Linked DNA regions of Anolis sagrei. The protein of the gene in region 4 interacts with the protein of the main gene of each other region in a pairwise test. Links are inferred from orthologs where the notes say so. Each region holds a gene or a part of one and is shown on either strand. Other genes may lie near its edges.

The links.
Region 1: the proteins of MORN4 (region 4) and SSX2IP interact in binary tests that used the Homo sapiens proteins (3 or more experiments, as listed by UniProt). The two-hybrid records come from large-scale screens. The link is inferred for Anolis sagrei from reciprocal best matches to the Homo sapiens genes MORN4 and SSX2IP.
Region 2: the proteins of MORN4 (region 4) and SEPTIN6 interact in binary tests that used the Homo sapiens proteins (3 or more experiments, as listed by UniProt). The two-hybrid records come from large-scale screens. The link is inferred for Anolis sagrei from reciprocal best matches to the Homo sapiens genes MORN4 and SEPTIN6.
Region 3: the proteins of MORN4 (region 4) and HMMR interact in binary tests that used the Homo sapiens proteins (3 or more experiments, as listed by UniProt). The two-hybrid records come from large-scale screens. The link is inferred for Anolis sagrei from reciprocal best matches to the Homo sapiens genes MORN4 and HMMR.

The regions. Positions count from the first base shown.
Region 1 is NC_090024.1:154,979,520-154,987,112, forward strand, and holds the start of SSX2IP (afadin- and alpha-actinin-binding protein), read left to right. Parts: upstream 1-4,095; 5' UTR 4,096-4,260; intron 4,261-7,593. UniProt on the Homo sapiens protein: Belongs to an adhesion system, which plays a role in the organization of homotypic, interneuronal and heterotypic cell-cell adherens junctions (AJs).
Region 2 is NC_090030.1:3,163,806-3,171,621, forward strand, and holds the start of SEPTIN6 (septin-6), read right to left. Parts: upstream 3,183-7,816; 5' UTR 2,841-3,182; coding exon 2,811-2,840; intron 1-2,810. UniProt on the Homo sapiens protein: Filament-forming cytoskeletal GTPase. Required for normal organization of the actin cytoskeleton. Involved in cytokinesis. May play a role in HCV RNA replication.
Region 3 is NC_090022.1:109,445,492-109,453,101, forward strand, and holds the start of HMMR (hyaluronan mediated motility receptor), read right to left. Parts: upstream 3,210-7,610; 5' UTR 3,118-3,209; coding exon 3,072-3,117; intron 861-3,071; exon of another isoform or gene 846-860; coding exon of another isoform or gene 818-845; intron 1-817. UniProt on the Homo sapiens protein: Receptor for hyaluronic acid (HA). Involved in cell motility. When hyaluronan binds to HMMR, the phosphorylation of a number of proteins, including PTK2/FAK1 occurs.
Region 4 is NC_090023.1:217,915,695-217,923,115, forward strand, and holds the start of MORN4 (MORN repeat-containing protein 4), read right to left. Parts: upstream 3,439-7,421; 5' UTR 3,307-3,438; intron 1-3,306. UniProt on the Homo sapiens protein: Plays a role in promoting axonal degeneration following neuronal injury by toxic insult or trauma.

The DNA.
Region 1 (7,593 bases), on a different chromosome or scaffold from region 4:
TGCATAATAAGATATCTTGAAGATGAGGCCAGGTCTAAACACGCAATTCATTTATGTTTCACATACATCTTATAGACATAGCCTGAAGGTAATTTATACTCAACATGATGTTGGGCTTGAATAAAGTTGTGTACATTGAACCATCAGAAAGCTAAGGTTTCACTATCTCATCCACTCATGTGGAAAGCTTTGGATTTCAGAATATTTGAGCATTCCAGATAAAGGATGCTTAATCTCTAAAATCAGGGTAGAAACCTCTAAAATCTTATTTCAGAGCGAGAGTTATGTTCAACTATTGTACAAAAACACACCTGGGGCTGGACACCTGAGTTCAGATTTAGGGTGGTGGCGATTTGCCTTCAAATGGCCTATGACTTATGGTAACCCTATGAATGGGAGACCTCCAATATCCCCAGTGAGCAACAGCCCTGCTCAGATCTTGCAACCTCAGGCTCCATCTACACTGCTGTATGATGCAGTTTGAAACGGCATTTTAGATGGGGCCTGTTGACCATGGCTTCTTAAAATGAAGCAATTCACTTGCAGGCCTGTTTATATATTTTGCAGAATCAGTATCCCCAGTCAGCAACTGCCCAGCTCAGATCTTGCAATCTCAGTTTGAAACTGCAATTTAGATGGGGCCTTTTGACCATGGCTTCTTAAAATGAAGCAATTCACTTACAGGTCTGTTTATATATTTTGCAGAATCAATACATTTGATTTTGTTTCTCTAGTCATAACAGTGTTACAGCATAAGTGGCTTTGAAATCCAAAACTGAGTATGTTCAGAGAATGTTTATGTATCTATTGAGCCTGTAATTATTTATCTGAGAGTTGGCAAACAGTTTTATTCTTTGCTTTGATATATTTCTGTATCTAGCAATTGAGGTAATTAATGTACTTGTCCAAATCAAGGCGAGAGATGTGTGGGTGTGCATGTGTGTGTGTAAGACTATTAAGTGCAGAGCTTAAAATAGTGCATCTCGCACGATTTCCCTTGCACTGCAGCAAGAATGTCTATTTCTCTGTTTTAGAGAGAATCCCACCATTGGCAAAAACTCCAGTGGTTTCTTTAAAAGCTTTTGGTAAGGATAAGAGGGGAGAGCTGCCTTATTATAAAGAAGATATAATTTATTGTTTGACTTATTTTTTATTATTATTGATTGCTTGTAAAATGGAGTCAGACAGCCAGAAACCTAAGATTTAGAATGTTTGCTGATAAAGATTAGTAAGACAAATACAGTAGATTCTCTCAAGCAATTGGCAAAAAAATTGAAAAATTTTTTCAAAATTAAAATACATATATAATACAGTAAAACCGTGTTACATTATGTTTTACTTTCAATATTAATATCAAGTCAATACAAAATGTATAGTATGAGCTCCTGGTGGTGCAGCGGGTTAAATTACTGAGCTGCTGAACTTGCTGACTGAAAGGTTGGTGGTTCAAATCTGCAGAGCGGGGTGAACTCCACCTGTTAGCCCCAGCTTCTGCCAACCTAGCAGTTTGAAAACATGCAAATGTGGGTACATCAATGGGTACCGCTTCTGCGGGAAGGTAACAGCATTCCAAGTGGTCATGCCGGCCACATGACCTTGAAGGTGTCTATAGACAATGTCAGCTCTTCAGCTTAGAAATGGAGATGAGCACCACGCCTTAGAGTCAGACACAACTAGATTTACTGCCAAGGGGAAACATTTACCTTTACCTTTATGAGTTTGGCTTGTTTTGAATAGTAACTCGAGAGACCAAAAACTACATTTATCTGGTATCTACCTGGTTAACTGAGAATCTTGACCCATGTTAAACAAAGTTGTGGGTTGCTCTGAATTCTGCCTAGGATCCGGAGTGAGAGCTTTAACTTGACACCTCTGAACTTACATCTTGCTAGGCCTGCCTAGTTAAGAAAACACAGCAGAGATTCCCAACCCCAAAGAGCCCTTTGCTTTGAGATTGGCCAGTTCCTTAGGCTGGTCAACACAGGGTGCTGTTTGTGCTTATTGAAGCAACAGGAAACTGAGCAAAGTCCATGTCTTTTGACCAAGAGAAAGAAGTTTTGATTTCTAACTGGACAGACAGGTCATGTGCTGATGCTAACTGCTAGATATAAGGTGGACTATAAAATAATTGTTCTACAAGACCCCACTGTCCTTCTTTTACAAGATAGCTAGGCACCCACATGCCGCAGCAGCGCAGTGAGTTAAACTGCTAGCTGCAGGAAATCTGCTGACTGGAAGGTTGGCAGCAAAGCCTTAACAAAGCCTTAAGTTGGGGTGAGCTCCCGACTGCAGCCCTAGCTTCTGCCAACCTAGCAGTACAAAAGCATGCAATGTGAATAGATCAATAGGTACCGCCTTGGTGGGACGGTAAAAAGGCATCCCATGCAGATATGCAGACATCTTCTCCAAACTTTCCTGTCTTCTCATTATGTGGCCAAAGTATTTCATCTTTGCCTGTAATATCCTTCTTTCCAGTGAGCAGCCAGGCATTATTTCCTTGAGTATGGTCTGGTTTGATCATCCAGCGGTCCAAGGCAGTCTCAGAATTTTCCTCCAAGATTCCATTTTTCTTACTGGCTGTTAGGAATTGAGGGAGTTGAAGTCCAAAATACCCGGGAGGCCGAAGTTTGCCCATGCCTGTTTTATACAGTGCTTTCTAACTTTTACTCCAAGATATTCTGGACTTCAACCCCCAGAAGCCCCAGTCAGTCTGGCTGATAGTAGGAAACTCTGAGAGCTGAAGTCCTAACTACAGGGAGGAGCAAAACTGAAAAATAATATGAAATGTTTTAAGGTACCACCAGATTTGGTATATCCTCCTCCCCTGGGTGCATCCACATTGTACAATCAATGCAGTTTGAAATCTCTGTAACTCAGGCATGGGTAAAATTTGACCCCCCAGGTATTTTCTGTGTTGTAATGTAAAATAAAATAATATAAAGGAGTCCCGTTGGCGCAGTGGTTTAAAGCACTGAGCTGCTGAACTTGTTGACTGAAAGGTCGCAGGTTCGAATCTGGGGAGCGGCGTGAGCTCCCACTGTCAGCCCCAGCTTCTGCCACAATAGCCGTTTGAAAACATGCAAATGTGAGTAGATCAATAGGTACCGCTCCGGCGGAAGGTAAGGGCGCTCTATGCAGTCATGCTGGCCACATGACCTTGGAGGTGGCTACGGACAACGCCAGCTCTTTGGCTTAGAAATGGAGATGAACAACAAACCCCAGAGTCGGACACGACTGGACTTAATGTCAGGGGAAAGCCTTTACCTTTACCTTTACTAATGTAAAATAAATCACGTGTAGTTCACGTTTGATCAACCCACCCATTGCCTTGCCAGAGTTAGAAAATATGCCACGCAGGTGACCAATAAAGAACAAGTAGTTTACTCTTCTTAGTTCAGAACGACATATGTACAATGTGATCAGTTGTACTAACTCGCATAATTTCCTTTTATGGGAGGTTTAAAATAGTATTTCTATGTCCATTTGGATAAGCTCCTTTAGCAGCTCATGAAGTACACTCCAAACTTTCTGCTTCTCTTCAAGCCTGAACAAAAATGCAACAGTAACCAAAAGTCCCAGGCTCAGCCATCTCCCAGGGCATTGCCTGGCCACACACATTCATGCATCTTATTTTATTTGATGCACATACACACTCTCACTGATTCTTTGCATGCTCCTAACAGGCTGTTAGGAATGGTGGGAGCTGAACTCCAAAACACCTGGAGGGCCAAAGTTTGCCCATGCCTGCTGTAACTGCTATCGTTCAGTGCTATGGAACCATGGGAGATGTAATTTCACAAGGTCTGGACTAGCCCTCTCTGCCAAACTGCAACTCCCACGGTCTTATCCCATTGAGCCCTGGCAGTTAATGGGGTGTCAAACGGTATTAATGCTGCAGGAGAGGAGGGGGGGGGGGAAGAGTATGGCTGCAACAGGTGAAGAAGGAGGGGAGAGCCGGCCAAGCAGCTGGCGCGTCTGCCAGGCCCTTTGTTGAAAGGTCTCCTAGCAACGCTGCGGCCAATGGGGGCGCGGAGTCTCGGGGCGCGGAGGGGGGATTGGAAGGCGGGCGCTGCTGGGATCGGCGGTGCCGCGGGGCGCGCGCGTGCGTGAGTGTGCGCGCGCGTAGGAGGGAGGGAAGCAGGCAAGCAGAGAGGCAGCGGAGCTTTGGGCAGCAGAGGTTGGGGCGCCCCTCCTTTCCTCCCGCAGCAGGTGGGAGGCTGGGTGCCCTGTCCCCTCCCCCACCCGGCTTCCCAGGAGCAGGTCTGGACTTGATCTTGGCTATTCTGGGGCAAAAAGGGGAAAAGGGGAGGAGGAAGCACGTGGGAAATGGGAGGCATTGGCATGCGAGTCAGTGGGTGGTTGGGAGGGGGGCAAAGGAGGAGGAGGTGGACACTTCTGTAGAAGAGGGGGCATTGCATGGGGGTGAGATACCAGACAGTCAGGTGCGTTCTCACGTACACAGTCTGGGTCAGGAGTGTGCTGGTGTGTCTACACTGTAGAATGAATGCACTTTAGCTGTCAATGGCTTCATGCTATGGAAGCCTGGGAGGTGCACTTTGGTGAGGCACCTGCACTCTTTGGGCCCTTCCACACAGCCCTATATCCCAGAATATCAAAGCAAAAAATTCCACATTATCTGCTTTAAACTGGGTTATCTGAGTCCACATTCAGATAATGTGGGATTTCCAGCCTTGATATTCTGGGATATAGGACTGTGTGGAAGGGCCCTGCGTGCACACTCAGATAATGTGGGATTTCTGCTTTGATATTCTGGGATATAGGGCTGAGTGGAGGGCCCCTTAGGCGGGGAAATTTCACTACCTTGTAATTCCCCCCTCAGTCCCAAGGAGGACCCTGCATTGTAGAATCCATGCAGTTTGACAAAAGCAGCACTTCACACAAAACATAATGCATGGTTATGAAAGCTGAATATTTAGGAAGCGGTAAACAAAGAGGTGCATCTACACCAGGCACAGGCAGACTTTGGCCCTCCAGGTGTTTTGGACTTCAACTCCCACAATTCCTAACAGCCTACCTGGAGGGCCAAAGTCTGCCCATGTCTGATCTACACTGTAGAATTAATGCAGTTCGACACTACTGTGATTGCTCAACAGTGTGGAATCCTGGGAGTTGTAGTTAAGTGAGACACCAGCACTCCCATGATTCCATAGAAGTGAGCCATGGCAGTTCAATAGGGTGTCAAACTACACCCTATTGAACTGCCATGGATCACTTCTATGGAATCACGGGAGATGTAGTTCCACAAGATCCCTCTCCTTCTCTACCAAAATGTGTCGGTGTCTCACCCAACTACAACTCGCAGGATTCTATGCTGTTGAGCAATCAAAGTGGTGTCAAACAGCATTCATTCTACAGTGAAGATCAGACTTGGGCAAACTTCGGCCTTCCAGCTACTTCATCACACTAGAGAATGAATCCACTTTAAATCTATTTTCTGCCTCCTGTAGAATTCTGGGGTTTGTAGTTTAGGGAGGAGCCTTTAACAGCCTCACTAAACTACAAACCCCAAAATTCTGCAGCAGGCAGAAACCGGATTTAAAATGGATTCATTCTCTAGTGTGATGAAGTAGCCAGGTGAAGTAGCCACAAGTTGAGAACCACTGTGGTAGGCTGTTAGGAATTGTGGGTGTTGAAGTCCAAACACCTGGAGGGCCGAAGTTTGTCTATGCCTGGTGTAGATGCACCTCTGTGTTTGCTGACAGTGTGAGAGATCTTCCAAGGTGCATCTACATGCTATAGAATGAATGCAGCTTGACACCACTTTTATTGCTCAACAGTATGAGATCCTGCGAGTTGTAATTTGGCAAGGCAACAGCACTCTTTGGCAGAGAAGGCCAAAGACTTTGCAAAGCGCTGACTCCTGTGACTCTATTGCACAGAGCCCTGGCAGTTCAAGTGGTGTCAAACTGGATTGATGCTCCAGTGTCGATGCACCCCAAGTCACCTGGCTCAAGTCTTGCAAAACTTCTTGATCTTCCTTGTGCTGCATCTGCACACTGTAGAACGCACGCAGTGTGACACCACTTGAACTTCCATGTCTCAGTGCTATAGAATACTGGGAATTGGAGTTTGATACAAAGCACTTTTCAGCAGTGAAAGGCCTTGTAAACTACAATTCCCAGGTTTTGATAGTATTGAGCCATTGTAGTTGAAGTGGTGTCAAACTTCATTAAATGTAGAGTGCAGATATACCCTTGGTTTCCCAAAATCTTCATCTTTATCATCTTTTTGTTAATTGCTGTCAAGTCTGACTTACAGCAAACTTAAACCTATGCATTGTTTTGTTAACTGCCGTCACATAGACATATGAATGAGTGACCTCTAGGTTTTGCAAATTGCAGACTCCCTTGACGTTTCTTGCTTCCCCTGATTTTCAACTTTTGTAACAATCCATATGTTTATATTGAGGGGCAGAATGTGAAAGAGCTTCTCAAAAGGGAGGTTATAAATGCTAGAGAGGGTGGCAGGCATGGGAAGGATTGCAGGCCATTGATTGGGAGGTGAAAAAGGCATTCTAAAAACAGAGCTGTCTGCAAGCGTTAGGAACCTGCTGGTTGGTGGAGTGTGAAAAGGCACCGGGCGGACAGCAGTCTAGGCAATGTGCGGAAATAAAGCCCTGTGTTGCTTGCACATTTTACTTGCAGTCTGTTGCATTTATGAGTGTATATATAGTCAGCCCTCTATATCCATGGATTTTGTATCCACAGATTCAACTGTCCATGCCTTGTAAATATTCAGAAAATAATCCAGAAAGCAAAACTTTGATTTTGTGATTTAATTTAGAGCAGTGGTTCTTCACCTGTGGTCCGTGGACCACCAGTGGTCCACAAGAATTAAAATATGGTCCGCGGCTTTACTGTTACTACACCGTTGCAACAAGAGCGACTGGTCTTGCAAAACCCTCATATAGTGCTGAGCATTAACAAAATCCATGGATAATAACACAGCCCAACCAAAAACAATTTTTTTCTTCTTGTTTTCGTTTTTAGGTCAGTTCCTGGAGTTATTGGGGTGTTGATTCAGAAAATTGCATTGAATAGACCACATCCATTCTAGATTATTAAATACGGTTTTCTGTGGGTGAGCAGATGGTGAGTACTGGATGACATATGTTCTGCATCAAAAACTAGAGCTGATGTGGTCTATCCAGTGCAATTTTCTGAATCAGCACCCCCAATAACCAAACCAAATCTAAAGTTGAAGAAAAACTGATTCGTAACCCTTTTGGTACTAATGTTGGAGAGTGGTCCCTGGTCAAGTGGTCGCTGCTCAAGCGGTCCCTGGTCAAAAAAAGAAGGCTGGGGAGCACTGATTTACAGGATACAATTTTATTATGTTGTCGAAGGCTTTCATGGCCGGAATCACTGGGTTGCTGTGAGTTTTCTGGGCTGTATGGCCATGTTCCAGAAGCATTCTTTCCTGAAGTTTTGCCTACATCTGTGGCAGGCATCCTCAGAGGTTGTGAGGTCTGTTGGAAACTAGGCAAGTGGGGGTTATATATCTGGAATCTCCAGGATGGGAGAAAGAACTCTTGTCTGTTTGAGGCAAGTGTGAATGTTGCAATTGGCCACC
Region 2 (7,816 bases), on a different chromosome or scaffold from region 4:
GCGCAGGTGCGCATGGGCCTCATAGGGCTCATGGGGAGGGGGGGCACAGTCCCTGCGCACTGATCCACGATTGTTGTGCCGAAAGTGCCACGGTTACGTTGAAAGGAAGATGCCAATAAACGAGCGGTCAACCACCTTGCACACAACAGGCCTCAATCCACACCAATGGAGCCCCAAATACACCAAGGGGGTGCTTGCCATGGCCTGGTTGGCCCCAGTTCACCCTCTGGGTTGGCCCCAGTTCATCCCAGTCTGCAATATGACACCTGGTGGCTTGATGGACCCATGGAGGGCTTGCTGTCCTCATCAACCTTGTTTTCAGTGAGAAGCCCCACCTCCAACCTCAGGCCTGGACTTTGGAAGACTCTCCCCTGAAAAGCACCCCTTCCTTCCTTCCTTCCTTCCTTCCTTCCTTCCTTCCTTCCTTCCTTCCTTCCTCACATTCCTCCTTCTTTCTCTCCTTCCTTCCTTCCTCACATTCCTCCTTCTTTCTCTCCTTCCTTCCTCCTTCTTTTTCTTCCTTCCTTCCTTCCTTCCTTCCTTCCTCACATTCCTCCTTCTTTCTCTCCTTCCTTCCTTCCTCACATTCCTCCTTCTTTCTCTCCTTTCTTCCTTCCTCACATTCCTCCTTCTTTCTCTCATTCCTTCCTTCCTTCCTTCCTCACATTCCTCCTTCTTTCTCTCCTTCCTTCCTTCCTCACATTCCTCCTTATTTCTTTCTTTCCTTCCTTCCTCACATTCCTCCTTCTTTCTCTCCTTCTTCCCTCACATTCCTCCTTCTTTCTCTCCTTCCTTCCTTCCTCACATTCCTCCTTCTTTCTCTCCTTCCTTCCTTCCTCCTTCTTTCTCTTCCTTCCTTCCTTCCTTCCTTCCTTCCTCACATTCCTCCTTCTTTCTCTCCTTCCTTCCTTCCTCACATTCCTCCTTCTTTCTCTCCTTTCTTCCTTCCTCACATTCCTCCTTATTTCTTTCTTTCCTTCCTTCCTTCCTCACATTCCTCCTTCTTTCTCTCCTTCCTCCCTCACATTCCTCCTTCTTTCTCTCCTTCCTTCCTTCCTCACATTCCTCCTTCTTTCTCTCCTTCCTTCCTTCCTCCTTCTTTCTCTTCCTTCCTTCCTTCCTTCCTCACATTCCTCCTTCTTTCTCTCCTTCCTTCCTTCCTTCCTTCCTTCCTTCCTCACATTCCTCCTTCTTTCTCTCCTTTCTTCCTTCCTCACATTCCTCCTTCTTTCTCTCATTCCTTCCTTCCTTCCTTCCTCACATTCCTCCTTCTTTCTCTCCTTCCTTCCTTCCTCACATTCCTCCTTATTTCTTTCTTTCCTTCCTTCCTTCCTTCCTCACATTCCTCCTTCTTTCTCTCCTTCCTCCCTCACATTCCTCCTTCTTTCTCTCCTTCCTTCCTTCCTTTTTTCTCCCATTCTTCCTTCCTTTCTCCCCTCCTCCTTCCTTCCTTCTTTCCTCTTTATCACCTTCCATTACTCCTCTCTCCCTCCTTTTCTTCCTTCCTCCGCTTCCTCCTTCCCTTCATCCTCTCTCATTCTTTCCTTCCTCTTCATCCCTTCTTTTTTCTCACATGCTTCCTCTCTCCCTTCTTTTCTTCCTTCCTTCCTCCCCTTCCTTACTTCCTTTTTATCTCCTTCCTCTCTTCTTTTTCTTCTCTTCCTTCATTCCTCCCTCCACTTCCTCCTTTTTTCTTCCTTTCTTCATTTCTCCTCTTCCTCCCTTCCTTCTTTTCTTCCTTTCTATGCCTTCCTCCTCCCTCTCTGCTTTTCTTCCTATCTTCACCCTCCTCTGTCCCTCATCTTTCCTTCCTCCCTCCCTTTTCCCTCTTCCTCCCTCCCTCCCTTTTCCTCTTCCTCCCATCTTTCCTTCCTATTTCCTGTTCCTTCCTTTCTCCTCTTCCTTCTTGTTTCTCTCCTTCCTTCATTCCTTCCTCCTCTTCTGCCTCCCTCCCTCCTTTTTTCCTTCCTTCCTCTTTGTCCCCCTTCCTTTTCTCTCTCTCACATCCTTCCTTCATCCCTTCCTTTCTTCTTCCTTTCTATCTCTTCCTCCTCCCTCCCTCCTTTTAATTCCTTTCTCCCCTTCCTTCCTCCGCTTTTCCTTCCTTCTCTTATCCTCCTCCTCCCATCTTTCCTCCCTCCCTCCCTCCCTCCCTTTTTTCTTCCTTTTTCCTCTTCCTTCCTCCTTCTTTTCCCTTCCCTTCTCCCTCCTTCTTTCTCTCCTCCCTCCCTTCCTTCCTATCTCCCTTCTTTTCTTCCCTTCCTCTTTCTTTCTCTCCTCCCTCTCTCCCTTCTTTCCTTCCTATTTCCTCTTCCTTTCTTCTTTTTTCCTTCCTTTCTCCTTGTTCTTCCTTTCTCCTCTTCCTTCTTGTTTCTCTCCTTCCTTCCTTCCTTCCTTCCTTCCTCCTCTTCTGCCTCCCTCCCTCCTTTTTTCCTTCTCTTATCCTCTTCCTCCCACCTTTCCTCCCTCCCTTTTGTCTTCCTTTATCCTCTTCCTTTCTTTTTCCTCTTCCTTCCTCCTCTTTTTTCCTTCCCTTCTCCTTGTCCTTCCTCTCTCCCCTTCCTCCTTCTTTCTCTCCTCCCTCCCTCCCTTGCCCATCCCTTCCCAAAGCCCTTCTTCTCCACAATCCCTCCCCACAATCCTTTTGCAAACCCCCAAATGGGACTTCCTCCTCCTTTTCCTCCCTTCCTGCAGTAGCAGCATCCTTTCCTTTGGAGGGGCGGGCAAGCGGGGTGGGGTGGGGGGCACACAATGGGCATCCATCCTTCCCTCTTTCCCATCCTTCCCTCCTTCCTTCCCCTTGCACTCACCACTTGCCGGGCGATCTCGGTGGCCGCCATGGCCCCTTCCTCCCCTTCCTCTTCCTCTTCCCCTCCTTCCTCTTCCTCCTCGCCCAGCCAGGCTCCGGAGGCGAGGAAAGCAGGGCCGGGCCACTGCGGCAACGGGGGAAAGAGGGAAAGAAGGAAGGAAGGAAGGAAAAAGAGAGAGAGAGAAGGAAGGAGGAGAAAGAGGAGAGCGCGCCTTGCAGAGAACCCAATTGAGAGAGAGAGAGAGAGAGAGAGAGAGAGAGAATGAGAGAGGAAACCAGGCGTGGAAGGAGGGAGGGAGGGGACCCGGCACACAAGGCAGGGAAAGAGGGAAGGAGAGAAAGAAAGAGAGAGAGAGAGAGAAGCAGCCCCTCCCCTCCCCTCCCTCGCTTCCTCTGGGCTCCTCCCGTTGCCTTTGCGAAGGCGGGCGCTTCCAAGGCTCCCTCCCCTCTCCAAGCTTCAAAGGCAGCAGAGAAAGAGAGAAAGGAAGGCAGCCAGAGAGATGCTGCTAGCTTCTATTGCATTGCATTATATGTAGAAATATATATTGCATATATTATATTGCATTGGAGTGCATTGAATTATAGGTTCTGTTGCACTGCATTATATGTAGAAATATATATTGCATATATTATATTGCATTGGAGTGCATTGAATTATAGGTTCTGTTGCACTGCATTATATGTAGAAATATATATTGCATATATTATATTGCATTGGAGTGCATTGAATGACATTATTTTATATATTACATATTATATTACATTCCAGTGCATTGCATTATATTTATACTTTATATGATATTATATTATATATTATATCATATGACATTCCATTCCATTATATGTATATTATATATATATGACATTCCATTCCATTATATATATAACATTACATTATATTTATTATATATTTATTATATATTATATATTTGAATATATATATATATATATATATATATATATTTGGGACCCATAAGTATGTATATGTATGTGTGTGTGTGTTTGTGTGTGTGTGTGTATAAGTGTAACTTTGTCCAAACATAATATAATCCCATATATGTGTGTGTGTGTGTGTAATATTTGGATGAAGTAACATTTGAATATATATATATATATATATATATATATATATATATATATATCTGGGCCCCATAAATATATATATATATATAGCTGTAACTTCATCCAAACATAATATAATCCCATATATATATATATATATATATTTGGATGATGTTACATTTATTAAGGTGTAACTTCATCCAAACATAATATAATATAATCACACACACGCACACGCACATATATAATATTTGGATGAAGTTACATTTGAATATATATATATATATATATATATATGGGATTATATTATATTATGTTTGGACGAAGTTACACTTAAAAATATATATACTTTTCGGCCCAGATATATATATTTTTTTGTTGGGTCAGGAGCGACATGGGTAACTGCAAGTCACTTCTGTTGTGAGAGAATTGGCCGTCTGCATGGACGTTGTCCAGGGGACGCCTGGATGTTTTGATGTTTTTACCATCCTTGTGGGAGGCTTCTCTCATGTCCCCGCACGAGGAGCTGGAGCTGATAGAGGGAGCTCATCTGTGCTCTCCCCGGATTTGAACCTGGTGGAGTTCAGAATGCTCTTTGATTGTAGGTGAACTATACATCCCAGTAACTACAACTCACATATGTCAAGGTCTATTTTCCCCCAGAGCGCCTCAAGAGTGCCCCTGAGCACAATCGACTATGCTGCAAATGCTTACTTTGTGTAATAGGTTGCTGAGGCTTCCCCCGGACTGCTAGGGCTGTTGTGAGCCGAGGGGGCGCTCCTCAAGTGGCGGTCGAGGGGCATTTACAGAGGTGCCTCTGCGCCCCTGGCAAAAAAAAGTGTACTGCGACCGCTTACTTTGCGTAATGGATGAGCCGCCCCTGGGGATGCGAGACAGGGCCTTTTCTGTGGTAGCCTCACGACTCTGGAACTAAAGATATCAGACAGGCCCCTACCTTGGCAGTCTTTAGGAAGAACTTGAAGACCTGGCTGTTCTGATGTGCCTTTCAAGAATAGGAAAACTCCAGTAACACGTCCCAGAAGCACTTTAGTAGAGTTTAAGATTGCCCGCACACTGCACTTACCCTAAAATCCAATATACCACCTGTCACATCAGCACTTTTAATCCTGTACCCATTACATTGGCCCGGCCCTGTTTTCTTGTGTTTTGGTGTGTTGTTTTATTGTTTTGTTGTTTGATATTGCTTTAATGGCTTTGATTTGTTTTAAGTTGTGTATTTTGTTATGCTATGTTTTTATTGAGGCCTTGGCCTGTGTAAGCCGCACCAAGTCCTTCAGGAGATGCTAGCGGGGTACAAATAAAGATAATAATAATCATATATGATAAAGGGATGTGATTTCTGGAACGTAGGCTATGGTCGGATGTGAGAGCTGGACCTGAGGGAAGGCTGAGCAAAGGAAGATCGATGCTTTTGAGCTGTGGTGTTGGAGGAATGATTGACAACTGGAAAATAGAGGGAGAAACCGTGGAGGCCGTGACAGACTTTGTATTTCTAGGTGCAAAGATGACTGCAAATGCAGACTGTAGCCAGGAAATCAGAAGACGCTTCCTTCTTGGGAGGAGAGCAATGTCCAGTCTCGATAAAATAGTCAAGAGTAGAGACATCAGACTGGCAACCAAGATCCATTGCCTAGTCAAAGCCATGGTCTTCCCTGTAGTAAGTCACCTACGGATGTGGGAGCTGGACCTTAGGGAAGGCTGAGCTAAGGAAGAGAGATGCTTTTGAACTGTGGTGTTGGAGGAAAGTGCTGAGAGTGCCTTGGACTGCGAGAAGATCCAACCAGTCCATCCTTCAGGAAAGAAAGCCCGACTGCTCATTGGAGGGAAGGAGACGAGAGACAAAGTGGAAGTCCTTTGGCCACATCGTGAGCAGACAGCCAAGCCTGGAGAAGGGAATGATGCTGGGGAAAGTGGAAGGCAAAAGGAAGAGGGGCCGACCAAGGGTAAGATGGATGGATGGCATCCTTGAAGTGACTGGACTGACCTTAGAATCATAGAATCATAGAATCAAAGAGTTGGAAGGGACCTCATGGGCCATCCATTCCAACCCCATTCTGCCAAGAAGCAGGAATATTGCATTCAAATCACCCCTGACAGATGGCCATCCAGCCTCTGCTTAAAAGCCTCCAAAGAAGGAGCCTCCACCACACTCCGGGGCAGAGAGTTCCACTGCTGAACGGCTCTCACAGTCAGGAAGTTCTTCCTCGTGTTCCGGTGGAATCTCCTCTCTTGTAGTTTGAAGCCATTGTTCCCTTGCGTCCTAGTCTCCAGGGCAGCAGAAAACAAGCTTGCTCCCTCCTCCTCCCTGTGGCTTCCTCTCACATATTTATACATGGCTATCATGTCTCCTCTCAGCCTTCTCTTCTTCAGGCTAAACATGCCCAGCTCCTTAAGCCGCTCCTCATAGGGCTTGTTCTCCAGACCTTTTATCATTTTAGTCGCTCTCCTCTGGACACATTCCAGCTTGTCAATATCTCTCTTGAATTGTGGTGCCCAGAACTGGACACAGTATTCCAGATGTGGTCTAACCAAAACAGAATAGAGGGGTAGCATTACTTCCCTAGATCCTTGAAGGAGCTGGGGGTGGTAACGGCCGACAGGGAGCTCTAGCGTGGGCTGGTCCATGAGGTCACGAAGAGTCGGAGACGACTGAACGAATGAACAAAACAACAACAACAACAATAACAGGCTATGGTCATGCGCTTTCGCGGAGGGCTGCCTTTGCAAGCATAAGCCAGAGAAAATGGCTGCGAAACGACAAAGCCACGCGACCCTGAAAGTGCAAGAAGTACAATGTGTACCAACTCTGTTGAAAAACTTCTGCAAAGTATCACTTTATGATAGCAGTTTGTAAGAAGTTGGCAGGACCGCAGAGGCTCTGCACGCCATGTGGCTCCAATGCTGACCACTTGTGCCAGCATCCCTTTGCAAACTTAAGAGAGAGAAAGTGGCATTATTAGGTTCTTGTGGGTTTTTTCGGGCTATAGAGCCATGTTCTAGAGGCATTTCTCCTGACGTTTTGCCTGCATCTATGGCAAGCATCCTCAGAGGTTGTGAGGTCTGTTGGAAGTAGGAAAAATGGGTTTATATATCTGTGGAATGGCTGGGGTGGGGCAAAGAGCTCTTCCCTGCTGCAGTTAGGCGTGAATGTTTAGCTGATCACCTTCATTAGCATTTGAAGGCCTGCCTGAGCCTGGGAAAATCTGTTACTGGGAGGTGTTAATCTGTGCCTGGTTTTTTTCCTCTCTGTTGTTTTGCTGTTATAATTTTAGAGTTTTTTTAATACTGGTAGCCAGATTTTGTTCATTTTCATGGTCTCTTCCTTTCTGTTGAGATTGTCCACCTGCTTCTTGTGGATTTCAATGGCTTCTCTGTGTAGTCTGACATGGTGGTTGTTGGTGTGGTCCAGCATTTCTGTGTTCTCAAATAACATGCTGTGTCCAGGCTGGTTCATCAGGTGCTCTGCTATGGCTGACTTCTCTGGTTGAAGGAGTCTGCAGTGCCTTTCATGTTCCTTGATGCGTGTCTGGGCAATGCTGCGTTTGGTGGTCCCTATGTAGACTTGTCCACAGCTGCATGGTATACGGTAGCAGGGAAGAGCTCCTTGCCCCACCCCAGCCATTCCACAGATATATAAATCCATTTTTCCTACTTCCAACAGACCTCACAACCTCTGAGGATGCTTGCCATAGACGCAGGCGAAACGTCAGAAGAGAATGCCTCTAGAACATGGCTCTATAGCCCGAAAAAACCCACAAGAACCTAGTGATTCCAGCCATGAAAGCCTTCGACAATACAGTGGCATTATTATTATTATTTAAATACATTTGTATATTTAAAAGAGAGAAAGTAATAATAATCATAAATAATCATAACCAACTCTTTAGACCATATGCGTTTCTGCACAGAAGGCAAAATTCCATC
Region 3 (7,610 bases), on a different chromosome or scaffold from region 4:
CAGTGACTATTTGGCAAATTAGATCTGAACATTTTATTTAAATGTACAAACTGCCGACCTGTGTCCTCAGGGAGTGTTACCCCCTTCAAGAACAGGTAACCACCCAATACCGTGATGGGCCTCATGACAGGAGGACCTTAGTCTTCTCTGGATTAAGCTTCAACTTGTTAACCCTCTTCCAGTCCATCACAGCTGCCAGGCACTGTTTCAGGATCCAGGTGCCTTCCTTGGAATTTGGTGGAAAGGAGTAGTAGAATTGAGTGTCCTCTGCGTACAGATGGCATTGAACACCAAACCTCTGGATGACCTCACCCAGTGGTTTCATGTAGATATTTAAAAGCATGGGAGATAGAATATAACCTTGTGGGACCCCACAAGTCAATGGCCAGTTGTCTGAGCAGGTGTCCCCCAGCTTCACCAACTGGATGCAATCCTCCAAGAAGGTACGGAGCCACTGCAAAGTAATGCCCCCCAAGACCCTTTCCGGAGAGTTGCCCTAGAAGGATAACATGGTAAATGGTATCAAAAGCCACTGAGATGTCCAGGAGAATCATCAAGAGCACACTCCTCCTGGCTAGCTCTCTGTGGAGGTCATCCACCAAGGCGGCCAAAGCCGTCTCCGTACCATAGCCAGGCCTAAAACCGGACTGCGATGAATCAAGATAATCAGTATCACCCAAGAATTCCTGGAGCCGAGAAGCCGTCACTCACTCTAGAACTTTGCCCAGGAAGGGAAGATTAGAAATTATGGTATATACGCGTTACATGTTAACAACATTTGGAAATATTTATCCCTTTTGGGACATGTTCTAGCCACCTGTGTATATTATCTTTAGATCCACCATTTCATTGTATTCTTATCCACCCGAGGAAGAATTATTATTTTTGAGAACTTGATGTCCACTTCATTGTACTCTTCACATTTCTCCACCTGAGGAAGACGTTAGTCGAAACCGGTCTGGAAATCTTCTACATGGATATCCTCTTACAAGGGACTGGAAACTCCACTCAAGAGTATCTTTCTCTAAAGTAAGGGATCTTATGCCCTTAAGAGAAGTCTGCTTTACAGCAAGAAAGACTCTACTCTTGTTACTGATGTAAAATCACTGTGTACGAACCCACACGATCTCTTCGATCATCTGGAGAGGCCCTGCTCACACTCCCACCTCCTTCGCAGGCATGATTGGTAGGGACGAGGGAGAGGGCCTTCTCGGTGGTGGTCGTTCGACTCTGGAATTCACTCTTTAAGGACATTAGACATGCCCCAGCGCTGGCTGTGTTTAGGAGGAGCCTGAAAACATGGTTGTTCCAGTGTGCCTTCCAGAATAAGGAAAACTCTAAGCAATATGTCCTCAAATGCACTTTAATATTGATTTAGGATTGTCTGCGCGCCCTCAACTTTCTTTGAAAACCCTATCCTAGTTTACCCTACCTTGTTAATGCCCAGCATTTTAAATTTTAATTATTACATTTGACCCGGCCATAGGTTTTTAAATGCTGTATGTTATTGTTATTGTTTATTGTGTATTTTTTGTTTTTGAGTTTTATTTTAACTGTTTTGTATTGATTATTTGTTATTGCCTTTGTTTATTGATGTGCTGTGGGCTTTGCCTCATGTAAGCCACACTGAGTCCCTTGGGGAGATGGTAGCGGGGTACAAATAGTATTATTATTATTATTATTATTATTATATTATAAACAAGTTTTTTGTTCATGGTATATTGCTCAATGCTGCATCATATAAGTTGGTTATACATTTAATATTGTATTATATAAGCTGGAAAAAAACATTTTCCTTTGTGATTTATGTACTACGACTTGTAGAAGATTTGTGTTTGTTAAGATTAGAAATTAGCCAGTAGTTATTCAAAACCATGGATTCTAGGGACTTCTTCAACATAGGTCTCACTATTGCCTTTTTTAGGCATGGTGGTATTTTGGAAAATGGTAACAGTGCTCCAGGCAGTCATGCTGACCTTGGAGGGACAATGCTGCCTTTTCGGCTTAGAAATGGAGATGAGCACCAACCCCCAGAGTTGGACACAACACTGGGATTTACTTTCAAGACCAAAATCTATTATTTACAGTGGCAAGGGAAAATAGTGTCACAAACATATTACCTTACCCCTTCAAAGGGCTGGGCACAGAGTTTCAAATAATGACGGCTTGATGCTTTTCCCAGCGCACTGACTGCCCCAAGCCTGTCATTTGCAAGATGGCAAGGTCAGCTATTCTCAAAATGGCATACAGCTGAATCATCCAACAACAGCAGTGGAGTTAGTAAATAATAATTCATTAAACCGTTTGTAACTTTGTTGTGTAATTGTAAGAGGGTGAAATATACTTGCTTTGAAACACCCGGCATATTACTTTTACTTTTAAGCTTTTTTGGTATTTATATTTAAATTATTGTATGTTTACTTTTAAGCTTTTTTATCGTATTTCTATTTGAATTACTTCTAAGCTTTTTATTGTATTTATATTTACATTATAAAGCAAATAAAATAAATAAATAAATAAATAAATTATTATACCATGTTTATTATTGTATGCTTGAATTGATATGTTAATTGTTTAAACTGATATGTTTTGTTTATTATTATATGTGTAATGTGGCATTGTATGCCATGGATTGTAAGCCGCCCTGAGTCCCCTACTGAGGTGAGATGGGCGGGGTATAAATGTAGAATAATAATAATATCTGTATCTATTTCTGTATTAGGAGGAAAGCAGGGTAAGACTCACCCCTCAAGCGAGGCCACTATTTCAGGCAGTGTTATATGGCTTGGGCGGGACACAAACCTACAGAGACCGCAGGTGGGTCTGCTACACTGTAGCATTAATGCAGTTTGACACCACTTGAACGGCCATGGGCTCAATGCTACGGAACCCTGGGAGTTATGGTTGCACAAGGCCTTCACGCTTCTCTGCCAAAGAGTGCTGGTGCCTTTCCATAGCGTTCAAGTGATGTTAAACTGACTTAATTTTGCAGCGTAGACGCACCCGGCAGCAACGTCTTGCCCAGCGTTTCCCCTTCTGAAGGCGAGGGAACAGAAGCCCCGCTGGCTTACCGGGAGCCTCGTTGAAGCGGCGGAGCGGGGCCCTGGGGAAGGACATGCCGGGGCCAGGCCAGCCAGGTGGGGCCCGCGGAGCAGAGAGAACGGATTTCAAAAAGCCACACTGCCGCCTCCTTCTCTTAAGTGGGCCCAACCAACCAATCCGAAAGCTCAAGCGGCGGCACGCTCCGCAAATCAGAGGTTAGCCCTGGAGCATGCGCAATAGGGAACTGCGGAAGTGAGGCGGTACCCTCTTCTCCAGCTTGGCGTGAGGTTTCGGGGCGTGCCGTGTGTTGTTTTTGCCTAGAAGAGGGAGGGAGTAGGGTGCCGCCTTGAGGGGTGTCCAATCAACCTCCACCTGCTTAGAAATTAATTTTAACAAGAACCCTCATTTAACCCTTGCCACGCGTTGCTGTGGCCCAGTCTGTTGATATGGAAAATAAAGTAATGAGAAAGTGTTGGTTTCTAAAATATGTATTTTCTTTCTGCTTGTGGGTAAACAATATTTCTTGCTGTTTCTTTGTCAGTGTTGATGTGGAGATTGTCTGGTTTGCCTACTCTGGAATATGCAAATTGTCCTTCTTTAGGGGTCCCTTTCAAATCTATACAGTCTCTGTGTGTGTGAACCATATCTATCAATCTATCTCTCTATATCTATGGCTGTATGGCTCTTTGTCAGGAGGGCTTTGATTATGTTTTCTTTCCCTGGTGAAGGGAGTTGGACTGCATGGCCTTAAGTATTTTCTGTTGGTCATGGGGGTTCTGTGTGGAATGTTTGCCCCAAATCTGTGGGTTCAGAATGCTCTTTGATTGTGGGTGAACTATAAATCCCAGCAACTACAGCTCCCAAATGTCAATGTTATTTTCCCCAAACTCCGTCAGTGTTCACATTTGGGCATCTTGAGTATTCGTGCCAAGTTTGGTCTAGATTCATCATTGTTTGAGTCCACAGTGCTCTCTGGATATAGGTGAACTGCAACTCCGAAACTCAAGGTCCATGCCACCAAACCCTTCCAATGTTTTCTGTTGGTCATGGGAGTGTGCCGCGTTTAGTTCAATGCTATCGTTGGTGAAGTTTAGAAAGCTCTTTGATTGTAGCAGGCATGTAGAAGGGGGGGGGGGGGGGCTTGAGGGGCTTCAGCCTGAAATTCTCATGGTGGTTCACGAAAAGGCCTTACTGCTGCATTATTTAAACTGTTATGTTTATTCATATCATGATCTGATCACCATACTCAATATATCCCATATGCATGGAAGTATTGGGGTAATGATACAAAAGGTTTGCTAGGCTAGACCCTCTTTCACTCAGAATCACACCCCCCCCCCCTGAAACTCAGCCCCCCCCAACCCCCCCTGAAAAAAATCAGCCCCCCCCCCCAAACGAAATCCTGGCTATGGGCCTGGATTGTAGGTTAACTATAAATTGACAAAATCAATTTTTTAAGTGATGGTCACTCCTTGGGTGAGTAGGTGTCTTGTGGCTAAATTTCGCAGCACTTTGTCCAGTGTTTTTTGCATTATGTTAATCCCACAAACGAACATTACATTTTTATTTATATAAATATACTAGCTGTACTTGCCACGCGTTGTTGTGAACAATCTTCCCTCCCTCTTTCTCTCCTTTCTCTTTCTCTCCTTCCTTCCCTTTTTTTCTTTTTCTCTCTCCTTCCTTCCTTCTCTTCCTCTTCCCTTCTCCCTTTCTTCCTTCTCTACCTATTCTTGGACTGCAACTCCCAGCAGTCCTCTTGATCGATTGATCTATGTTATCTAATCTATCTATCTGGAGGATTGCCGGGAGTTTCATAGGAAATTGGAAATATGTAGGGATTGGGATACTCTCAAAGAGATCCAAGGAGAAGAAAGCTTGCATCTTGAAAGCAGTGCATTTGGATCATCCTCCTCTCCTAAAGGGCCTGGTCTAGGAGATGCTGGAAGCTCGGAGCAGTTGTCCAAAATAGAGTGTGGATATGCTATTGTTTTGTTTGCCAGGGGAGTCATTTTTGCATATTCACTGTAGTGTCTATTTGCTTTTTTGGCTTTTTAAGTCCCTTCCGCTGTGTTTTTCAGTATTTTTATGAGTGATGGTCACTAATTGGAATGATAGGCGTATTGTGTCCAAATTTGGTGTCAATTCATCCGGTGGTTTTTGCATTATGTCAATCCCACAAACTAACATTACATTTTTATTTATATAGATATATATATTTTCAAATGAGGGCTTGTGTTAAAATGTATGTCTAAGCAGGTCGAGTTTGCTTTGACACTCCTCAAGACACACACACACACACTGTTCGGAAGCTTCAAATGGCCAAAGACTGGCAGCCAAGTTACTAACAGGAGCGGTGCCCAGGGAACACACTACTCCTCTGTTGTGTCAGCTCCACTGTATAGTTTATAATTCACGTTACAATGTAATATTACCTTTAGCCACTAGGGCTGGGCAACCACGGAAAAATTTGTTTCTAAACTCGATTCGTTTTTAGGGGGTTTTTGCGTTTCGATTTTTAAATTAATTCCGAAATTTTCCTTAATTTTTTTTTTATATTTATGAAATTTCGTAAATTACGAAATAATTACGAAACGATTTTGAAACGAATACGAATCGATTCGTTAATGGCGGACGCGACTGCGCAATACGCTAAAAAACCTCCATATGGGACAGGGGGAACTTTTGAAGCTTTCCTCTCCCTCTGTTGTTGACTGTTGGTGTGATATTTATAATTTTTTTCCACTGATTAAACAAACAACAGCTATAAAACTTGCCCCAGACATGTGGAAATAATAACGAAACAATTTCGAAAAGATTTCGAAACGAATACGAAACGAATACGAAGCAATTACGAAACGAATTGAAAAATTCGTTTCGTTTTTTAGATGCTCCTGAATGGTTCAAAATCGCTTCGTTATAAAAAAACGAATTTTTAACGAATTACGAAATTACAAAACGAAACCGCCCAGCCCTATTAGCCACTGTCTATGTCTCCTTAGGATCCACCCCTCCAGAAGACTGTTGGTGAATTTCTCACCTCAAAAGCTGAGCTTTTTGTGATAATTTGAGTAAGTGGAGTGTCTGTATATATTCTTACAAACTTGATATAACAAATTGTTCAATTGTATGTGTGTATTCATGATATGTGTTGTTTGTAGACCCAACCGCCTGACGAAGGCTCTTGTGAGTCAATACCGGTCGCAGGTTGGAGTCGATTCATGTGACTTCTGGAGTCTACTCATATGTAATAAAAAACAGGACATTTACTCACACAAAGACTTTGTTTTATACTTCAAGAGAAGAACCAGTTGTTTCTACTTAATGTGAATGTGACAGCGAATTGTGCCATTCTGTAACCCGCCTTAAGTTGCCATATGGCTGAGAAAGACGGGCTATAAATACTGTAAATAAATAAATAAATAAATATTCATTCAATGGGTTCATGACTGACACCTCTGTTTTGGGGGTGGATCTACAGTACAGGATTAAATGTAGTGTGACACCACTAAAGTGTCACTCTAACTACCATGGCTCAACCACATGGAGTCCCCGGATTTGGAATTTTGCAAGGCACTCCGTGCCAGAGAAGGCTAAAGACCTTGTAAAACCAACCAGAACCCAACTGGCAACCAACACCCAGAGGACCTTTTATCAGCCACCCCAAGGCGAAGTGCAAAGTGTTTGGTTTTGACCTTTAAAGCCCTACATGGTTTTGGTCCAGGTTATTAAAGGATTGCCTTCTCACATGCAACCCACCCCACACACTTTAGTCTTCTGGGGGGCATCTGCTTCAGCCTGCCAGGACCCGACTGGCAACCACCACTCAGAGAACTTTTTCATCAGCCGCACCAAAGACTATGGACAACCTGCAGCTAGAGCTCTGACAGCTAGATCGGCTGTCAGAATTTAAAAACCATGTAGACCTATCTCTTCAGGCAGGCCTACACAGACAGTCTTTAAGCATGACTTTTAAGTGTCCTATTTGATCTGCTTTGTGTATTTTAATATGTATTTTGTACAGATAAGTTTTGGTGTGTAGCTTTTATGGAGGTACATTTAGTGTGTGTATTTTGTAGTGTATTTTGTAGAGAGGGCGGTAAGAAATAAAATTATTATTATTATTATTATCATTATTAAAACTACAGCTCCCATATGGCTATAGTATTGAGCCATGGCAGTTAAAAGTGGTGGGTCAAACATTAGTTTTACACTGCAGGACTAAGATAAGGCAACGGGAAAACCCATTTGGCTAAATTTTGATAAGGAACTCCCCTTATAGGGTTGCCATAAGTTGGAAATGATTTCAAGGCACACCATAAAAATGCAATAATACATTTTAAATGTCCTATTTGTTCCACAGTTTTGAACCATGGTGGTGAACTATATTGATTCTCAGTGTTGATGGAGGTTTTCATGGCCAGAATCACTGGGTTGCTATGAGTTTTCCAGACTGTATAGCCATCCATGTTCCAGAAACAGTCTGTCCTGACATTTCACCCACATCTATGGCAGGCATCCTCAGAGGATGAGAGGTCTGTTGGAAACTAGGCAAGTGAGGTTTATAT
Region 4 (7,421 bases):
ATATTTATTTATTTACTGCATTTATATATGTTATGTATAGCTTGCAATGTAAAAAGAGAGAGAGTTGCCTCCCTTTTCTGTGCTCATCTTTGGAACGACACCAGATCATGACAGATCATGATTTTATTAGTGAATACAATGTTTTAATGTGCATTTAATTTTATTTAACTTAAGCGTATTCTAATTTAGTTAGAATTTTGTCCAAAGGCACTTAATAGTTGCCATATGTAAAGCTGCCTTGAGTCCTCTTTTGGGGGTAGAGAAAGGCGAGATACAACTAGATTAAATAAATAAAATGTGAATGTCACATAGTTCTAAGGGCCTCATAGAATAATAGAGTTGGAAGAGACCTCATGGGCCATCCAGTCCAACCCCCTGCCAAGAAGCAGGAAAATTGCATTCAAAGCACCCCTAACAGATGGCCATCCAGCCTCTATTTGAAAGCTTCCAAAGAAGGAGCCTCCACCACACTCCGGGGCAGAGAGTTCCACTGCTGAACGGCTCTCACAGTCAGGAAGTTCTTCCTAATGTTCAGATAGAATCTCCTTTCTTGTAGTTTGAAGCCATGTTTATATACTGTATATGCAGGGGCGGCTCAACCCATTACGCAAAGTAAGCATTTGCAGTATAGTTGATTTTGCCCAGGGGCGCTCTTGGGGCGCTCTTGAGGCGCTCTTGGGGGAAAATAGACCTTGACATATGCGAGTTGTAGTTACTGGGATGTATAGTTCACCACAATCAAAGAGCATTCTGAACTCCACCAATGATGGAATTGAGCCAAATATGGCACACAGAACTCCCAAGACAAACAGAAACTATATATCAGTGATTGGTTGGGGGGGGGGGGGGGCGCACCAAATTACTATTTGCTTACTGAAGAAAATTTCCTAGGGCCGCCTCTGTATATATGAGGCCCCTAGAACCATAAGAAATGCAAAATACGTGTACATTCTGACTTTAATTTTTAAAATGTGTATGTCACAATATATATTTATATACTGTATATGAGGCCACTAGAACTTTAAGAAATGCAAAATACTCACTGTGAATAACTCATTCTCAAATTGCCCCCCTCCTCCAAGTTGGAAACCAAGGCTATGGCAGGCATGGGCCAACTTGGGCCCTCCAGGCTGGACTTCAACTTGTGGGAGTTGAAGTCCAAAACACCTGGAGGGCCCAAGTTGGCCCGGCCTGCTCTAGAAATAACATTGATCCAGCACCTACCAATCCCCATGGGTGCTGGTGAACTGAGAGTCTAGTGTAGCTATCAAAATAGGGTTTCCTTCCATTTGTTTCACTCCAAATATGTATTTATTTTACTGTATTTGTATACAGCCTTTCTCAGCACACAGGCGACTCAAGGCAGTTAACAGCGCAAAATCCAATGCTTACAATGTTATAATACAATTAAAAACATAACATATAATAAAAACTAAACAAATCAATAAAATATAAATTCATAGTGTCTCCTTGTTAAAAACATTGTCCAGACTAATTGTCTAGTCCAGGGGTCCTCAAACTAAGGCCCGAGGGCTGGATGTGGCCCTCCAAGGTTATTCACCCGGCCCTCGCTCAGGGTCAATCTAAGTCTGAAACGACTTGAAAGAACACAACAACAACAACAATCCTATCTCATCAGCCAAAAGCAGGCCCACACTTCCCACTGAAATACTAATAAGCTTATATTTGTTAAAATTGTTTTTCATCTTAATTATAGTATTATTTTTAAGTGTTTTTTGCACTACAAATAAGATATGTGCAGTGTGCATAGGAATTCACTCATGTTTTTTTTTCCAATTTTAATTTCAAATTATAATCCGGCCCTCCAACAGTTTGAGGGACTGTGACCTGGCCTTCTGTTTAAAAAGTTTGAGGACCCCTGGTTTAGTTGTTCCATTTTTCTGTGTCAGTTTCTCTGCATTTGCAAACGCTTGTTCAAAAAGCCACGTCTTGACTGTTTTCCGGAATGTTAAAAGGAAGGTGGCCAATCTAATATCTATAGGGAGGGCGTTCCTCAGCTGAGGGGCCACCACCGAGAAGGCCCTGTCTCTCGTCTCTGCCAAACATATTTGTGACGAAGGCGGTAACGAAGGCAGTGCCTCCTCAGACGATCTTAAGGTCCTAGATGGTTCACAAGGGGAGATATGTTCAGACAGGTAAGTTGGCCTAGAACAGTTTAGGGCTTTATAGGCTAAAGCCCGCACTTTGAATTGTGCCCGGTAGCAAACTGGCAGCCAGTGGAGCTGGCGTAACAGAGGAGTTGTACGCTCCCTGAGCGCTGCTCCTGTTAGCAATCTGGCTGCTGTTAGTTGGACCCTTTGAAGCTTCCGGACAGTCTCCACAAAGAGTGTGTTGCTGTAGTCTTTACGGGATGTAACCAGAACGTGAACTACTGTGGCCAAGTCAGGCTTCCCAAGGTACGGGCGCAGCTGGTGCACAAGTTTTAATTGAGCAAATGCTCCCCTGGTCGCCACTGAAACCTGGGGTTCCAGGCTCAGCGATGAGTCCAGGATCACACCCAAGCTGCGAACCTGCATCTTCGGGGGAGTGTAACCCCATCCAACACAGGCTGTAACCCTATACCCTGTTCATCCTTATGACTAAGCAGGAGGACCTCTGTCTTGTCTGGATTCAGTTTCAATTTGTTTGCCTTCATCCAGATCTTCACAGCAGCCAAGCATTGGTTCAGGACTTGAACAGCCTCCTTAGTAGCAGGTGGGAAGGAGTGACAGAGTTGGACATCATCTGTGTACAGGTGACATTGCACCCCAAAAGTCCGGATGATCTTCCCCAGCGGCTTCATGTAGATGTTAAACAATATGGAAGACAATACTGAACCCTGTGGAACCCCACAAGACAATGATATAGCCTAGATGCAGAAGGAATAGCACAAAGAAAAAAAAGACTGGCCCAACCTTTCTTGCCAAAGTGATGCTCTCTATCTGATGGACAAGCACTGTCAGGCAAAGGATAGCAGACTGAATTGATTTGCCTCGCTCCACGATGGTGGCGACGAGGCAGAGCATCCTCCTCAGCTGCTGCGCCTGTGGACACTCCACCCACCTGAAAATCCCTGCCTTTCTCCCTGCAGAGGCATTGCCATCAAGCGTGAGGTGAGCGAGGGGCCATTGCTGTGGCGTGACCCTCGCCAGGCCCACCAGACTGGCGCCTGCTGCTGCCATTCCCCTCCGTGGTCCACCCACTCGCCCACCGTCTCCTCTCCGCCCTGGCAAGCCCGGCATCCCAGGCCTAGGCCTCTCGCCGACACTACAAGGCCTCTCCTGCGACCCCGCCCGCGCCTCTCACCTGGGCTCGGAGCGTCTCCGCGGCGGACACCAGCCTCACACCCCTCGGCTCTGCCCCCATCGGCCACCGCCTTTTTCCCTCCCTCCAGCTGCCTCAGCCCTGCCCGGCTTCTCTCCCACACACACGCCCCGCCCACCAGGAACCATCCCCTCACGCTGTTGGCTGTTGCCACGGCAACCCGTAGTAACGCGGCTCGCCATTGCCCGGCCTTCCCACTCGCCGACGCCCCCCCTCTCAGCGGCCTTCTTTGTTAAGGGCAAGGGAGAACGCTCTACAAGGCAGCCATATTTTTAAAGGGCAAGAAGACTATTTCCTACTCTCCTTCCTTAACATATTGAGGCCTTACTATCTTTCCCCCCCTTGGAGGACAAGTGTCAGTTGAAGCCCTTGGAAGAGGCTAAAAAAAACCAACCAAAAAACAACAAAAAAACAAAACAAAACAAAACAAAAAAACAAACAAAAAACCCAGACTATATCTTGGCAACATGAAAGAAAAGAGCTGTTTTTGAAATGTTTCATAATGCAAGCCACATCATGCGATGTGCAGGGCTTGATGAATGCAAAGCTGGAGTTAAAATTGCTGGAAGAAACATTAACAACCTTAGATATGCAGATGATACCACTTTGATAGCCGAAAGCAAGGAGGAGCTGAGGAGCCTTCTAATCAAGGTGAAAGAAGAAAGTGCAAAAGCTGGGTTGCAGTTAAACAAAAGAAAATCAAGATTTTGGCAGCCAAACTGATTGATAACTGGCAAATAGAAGGAGAAAACATGAAGGCAGTGACAGACTTTGTATTTCTAGGTGCAAAGATTACTGCAGATGCAGACTGCAGCCAGGAAATCAGGAGACGCTTACTTCTTCGGAGGAGAGTGATGACCAATCTATAAAATAGTGAAGAGTAGAGACATCACACTGGCAATGAAGATCCACATAGTTAAAGCAAAGGTATTCCCCATAGTAACCTACAGATGTGAGAGCTGGACCATAGGGAAGGCTGAGTGAAGGAAGATAGATGCTTTATTTATTTATTTCATGCATTTCTACCCCACCCTTCTTCCCCCAAAGGGCTTTTGAACTGTGGTGTTGGAGGAAAGTTCAGAGAGTGCCTCGGACCGCAAGAAGCTTCAAGAAATAAAGCCTGACTGCTCATTGGAGGGAAGGATAGTAGAGGCCAAGATGAAGTACTTTGGCCACATCATGAGAAGACAGGAAAGCTTAAAGAAGACAATGATGCTGGGGAATATGGAAGGAAAAAGGAAGAGGGGCCGACCAAGGGCAAGATGGATGGATGGTATCCTTGAAGTGACTGGACTGACCTTGAAGGAGCTGGGGGTGGTGACAGCTGACAGGGAGCTCTGGCGTGGGCTGGTCCATGTGGTCATGAGGAGTCGGAATCGACTTTTGTTGTTTTTGAATAAACAACAAAAATGCTAGGCAGTCTTTATAGCCATTGTAACAAAGAATGGCACTCGTAATTAAAACAATTACATTCTTTCTTCAGCTGTTGCACACTTTGACTTATACTCCTGGTTCCCAACCTTTTTTTGACCAGGGACCACTTGAACAAGGAGCACTTTGACCAGAAACCACTCTCCGACATTAGTACCAAAAGCGTTACAAGTCAGTTTTTGGTCAACTTTAAATTTGGTTTAGTTATTTGGGGTGCTGATTCAGAAAAATGCATTGAATAGACCACATCAGCTCTAGTTTCTGATACAGAACATATGCCATCCAGTAGCCGCCATATGCTCACCCACGGAAAACCATATTTAATAATCTAGATTTGCACTTTTCTGAATCGGCACCCCAAATAACCCCAGCAATAGGCCTAAAAATGAAGATACAAAATGGTTGAGCTGTGTTATTGTCCATAGTAGTAATGGTGAGGCCGTGGACCATATTTTACTCCTTGTGGACCACTGGTGGTCCATGGACCACAGGTTGGGAACCACTGACTTAAAGGGATTGTGGGTACATCTGCACTGTAAATGGTGCTGCCATGATAAGTCATGATATGATATAACTGCTAGGCACAACCTGTCAGATACATCAAAGAAAACTTACTAGGGTTGCTGGCATCAGAGAAGCCTGAGATCTTATTACTACTGGAAAACCTGAAGCATCTTGTTACAGAGGCCAGGTATATATCATAGCTAGAGATCAAACTTCATCATCTGTCTCTTATCAACCAGCATTAGCAATACAAGAAGTCCAACTTTGAGGAAATGTATAGCTTATTTCAAGGAATGTTCAGTAATGGAAGAAGGAGCAAATTCGCCTAGACCTTTAACATGAAGATCTAATACTATGTAGATGTGGAATAAAGCAACTGATGTTGTATCATTCACTTATAACAGTAGCACTTTCTGTGCATGTTTTCCATTTCCCTCTTTCTGCAAATATTTTTTGGGTAAAAATGTATTTTTGTATTAATTATATGTATGGTACTTAGTAGCTGTCATAATGTCCCCTAAGGCTAAAAGCATCTGTGGCAAGCATCCTCAGAGGTTGTGAGGCATCCTCAATGTCTGAGGGATGCTTGCCACAGATGCAGGTGAAACGTTAGGAGGGAATGCTTCGAGAACATGGCCATACAGCCCGAAAAACCTACAACAACCCAATAGTCTCAAGTGTCATAGTCCAACTCTTAAACCATGATGGCTCCTTGCCAGACAAGGACTATTTCTATACATGGCTAAAACCTAGAATATGGTTTGATAGCACATAATATTGTCACTTCACTTAAGTTAAATTCCTCGGGGTCTAATTAATAGATGGGTGTCTTGAGTTCCTTATTAGGAGGGAGGATATACATATACTGTCTTTCTTTTAACACTAGGGAAAACGTTACAAACTCCTGCCTTTTATCTTGATCATTCCGTTGCTCATGGGGAGGAAATATGAAGGAGAAGGAGAAAAGGACAATATATATCTCATCTCTGAATTGTTCTAAAACCAATTTACTGCAGGCAAATATTGAAATCACAAGACTGCATAACAATGTGAAAACACCCCAACATTAAAAGGATTTGAAAGAGAGGGCTTTAAAAGAGAGGACTCAGTTTTAATACTGAAGGATTCTTGGTACATTTAAGGCTAGAATTAGTTGGAATTCGCATGTTTTTCTTAGCCCTGTTTCTACTGAGAAACTTGACTTAACTTTTCATTTAAAAATATTTTACTTAATTGTTGGTGTTTTTGTAAAACCAGACTCCTCAGTGCTGTCAAATGTGAAAACAAATCCTAGAGTTTTGCAGGTGGAAACAGCTTTTAGCCAGATATCAAGGCTGGCATGGAGATTGTTGGTGGTGATTGGGAGAAGACAGTACAAGATAATGCTTCAAAGAGTATCCCAGTTTTATCTATCTATCTATCTATCTATCTATCTATCCATCTATCCATCCATCCATCCATCCATCCATCCATCCAGTAATACCTCTTCAAGAGTGAAGCATTTACATTGGAAAAATTCCCCATAGGAGCCCCCGGTGGCCCAATGTTTTAAACCCTTATGCTGGCAGGACTGAAGACCGACAGGTTGTAGGTTCGAATCTGGGGAGAGTGTGGATGAGCTCCCTCTCTCAGCTCCAGCTCCCCATGTGAGGACTTGAGAGAAGCCTTCCATAAAAAGGGTAAATCATCAAAATATCTGGGCGTCCCCTTCGCAACATCCTTGCAGACGGTCAATTCTCTCACACCAAAAGTGACTTGCAGTTTCTCAAGTCTCCTGACACACACACAAAAAATCCACATCACCAGCCTAACTCTACTCAGAAGTAATTGGGCTGTAGACATGACTAAAGCCATTCTTTCTCATAATTTCTGAATGGTTGGGTGTGATCTTTTGAGCAAATGACTCTGCGGCTGTCAGAATAAAAGATGTGGCTCAAATGCTTCCAGCTCATAACCTCAGGGTTCAGCAGGTCAAGAAGAGAGCAAACAGGAAGGCCTTCTGATTCTTTGCCAGGCATTTTGACCTCTCTTGCTTGCTTATTTCTCATGAAAGTGAGTGGGTTGGCTGGAGAATACTCAGAAATAAGACCTTGGAACTGTGTGTAGAGGGCAGAACACAATTCTCTCTTTTTGTTCTGCAATCCACTGGCTTCCAACAAAGA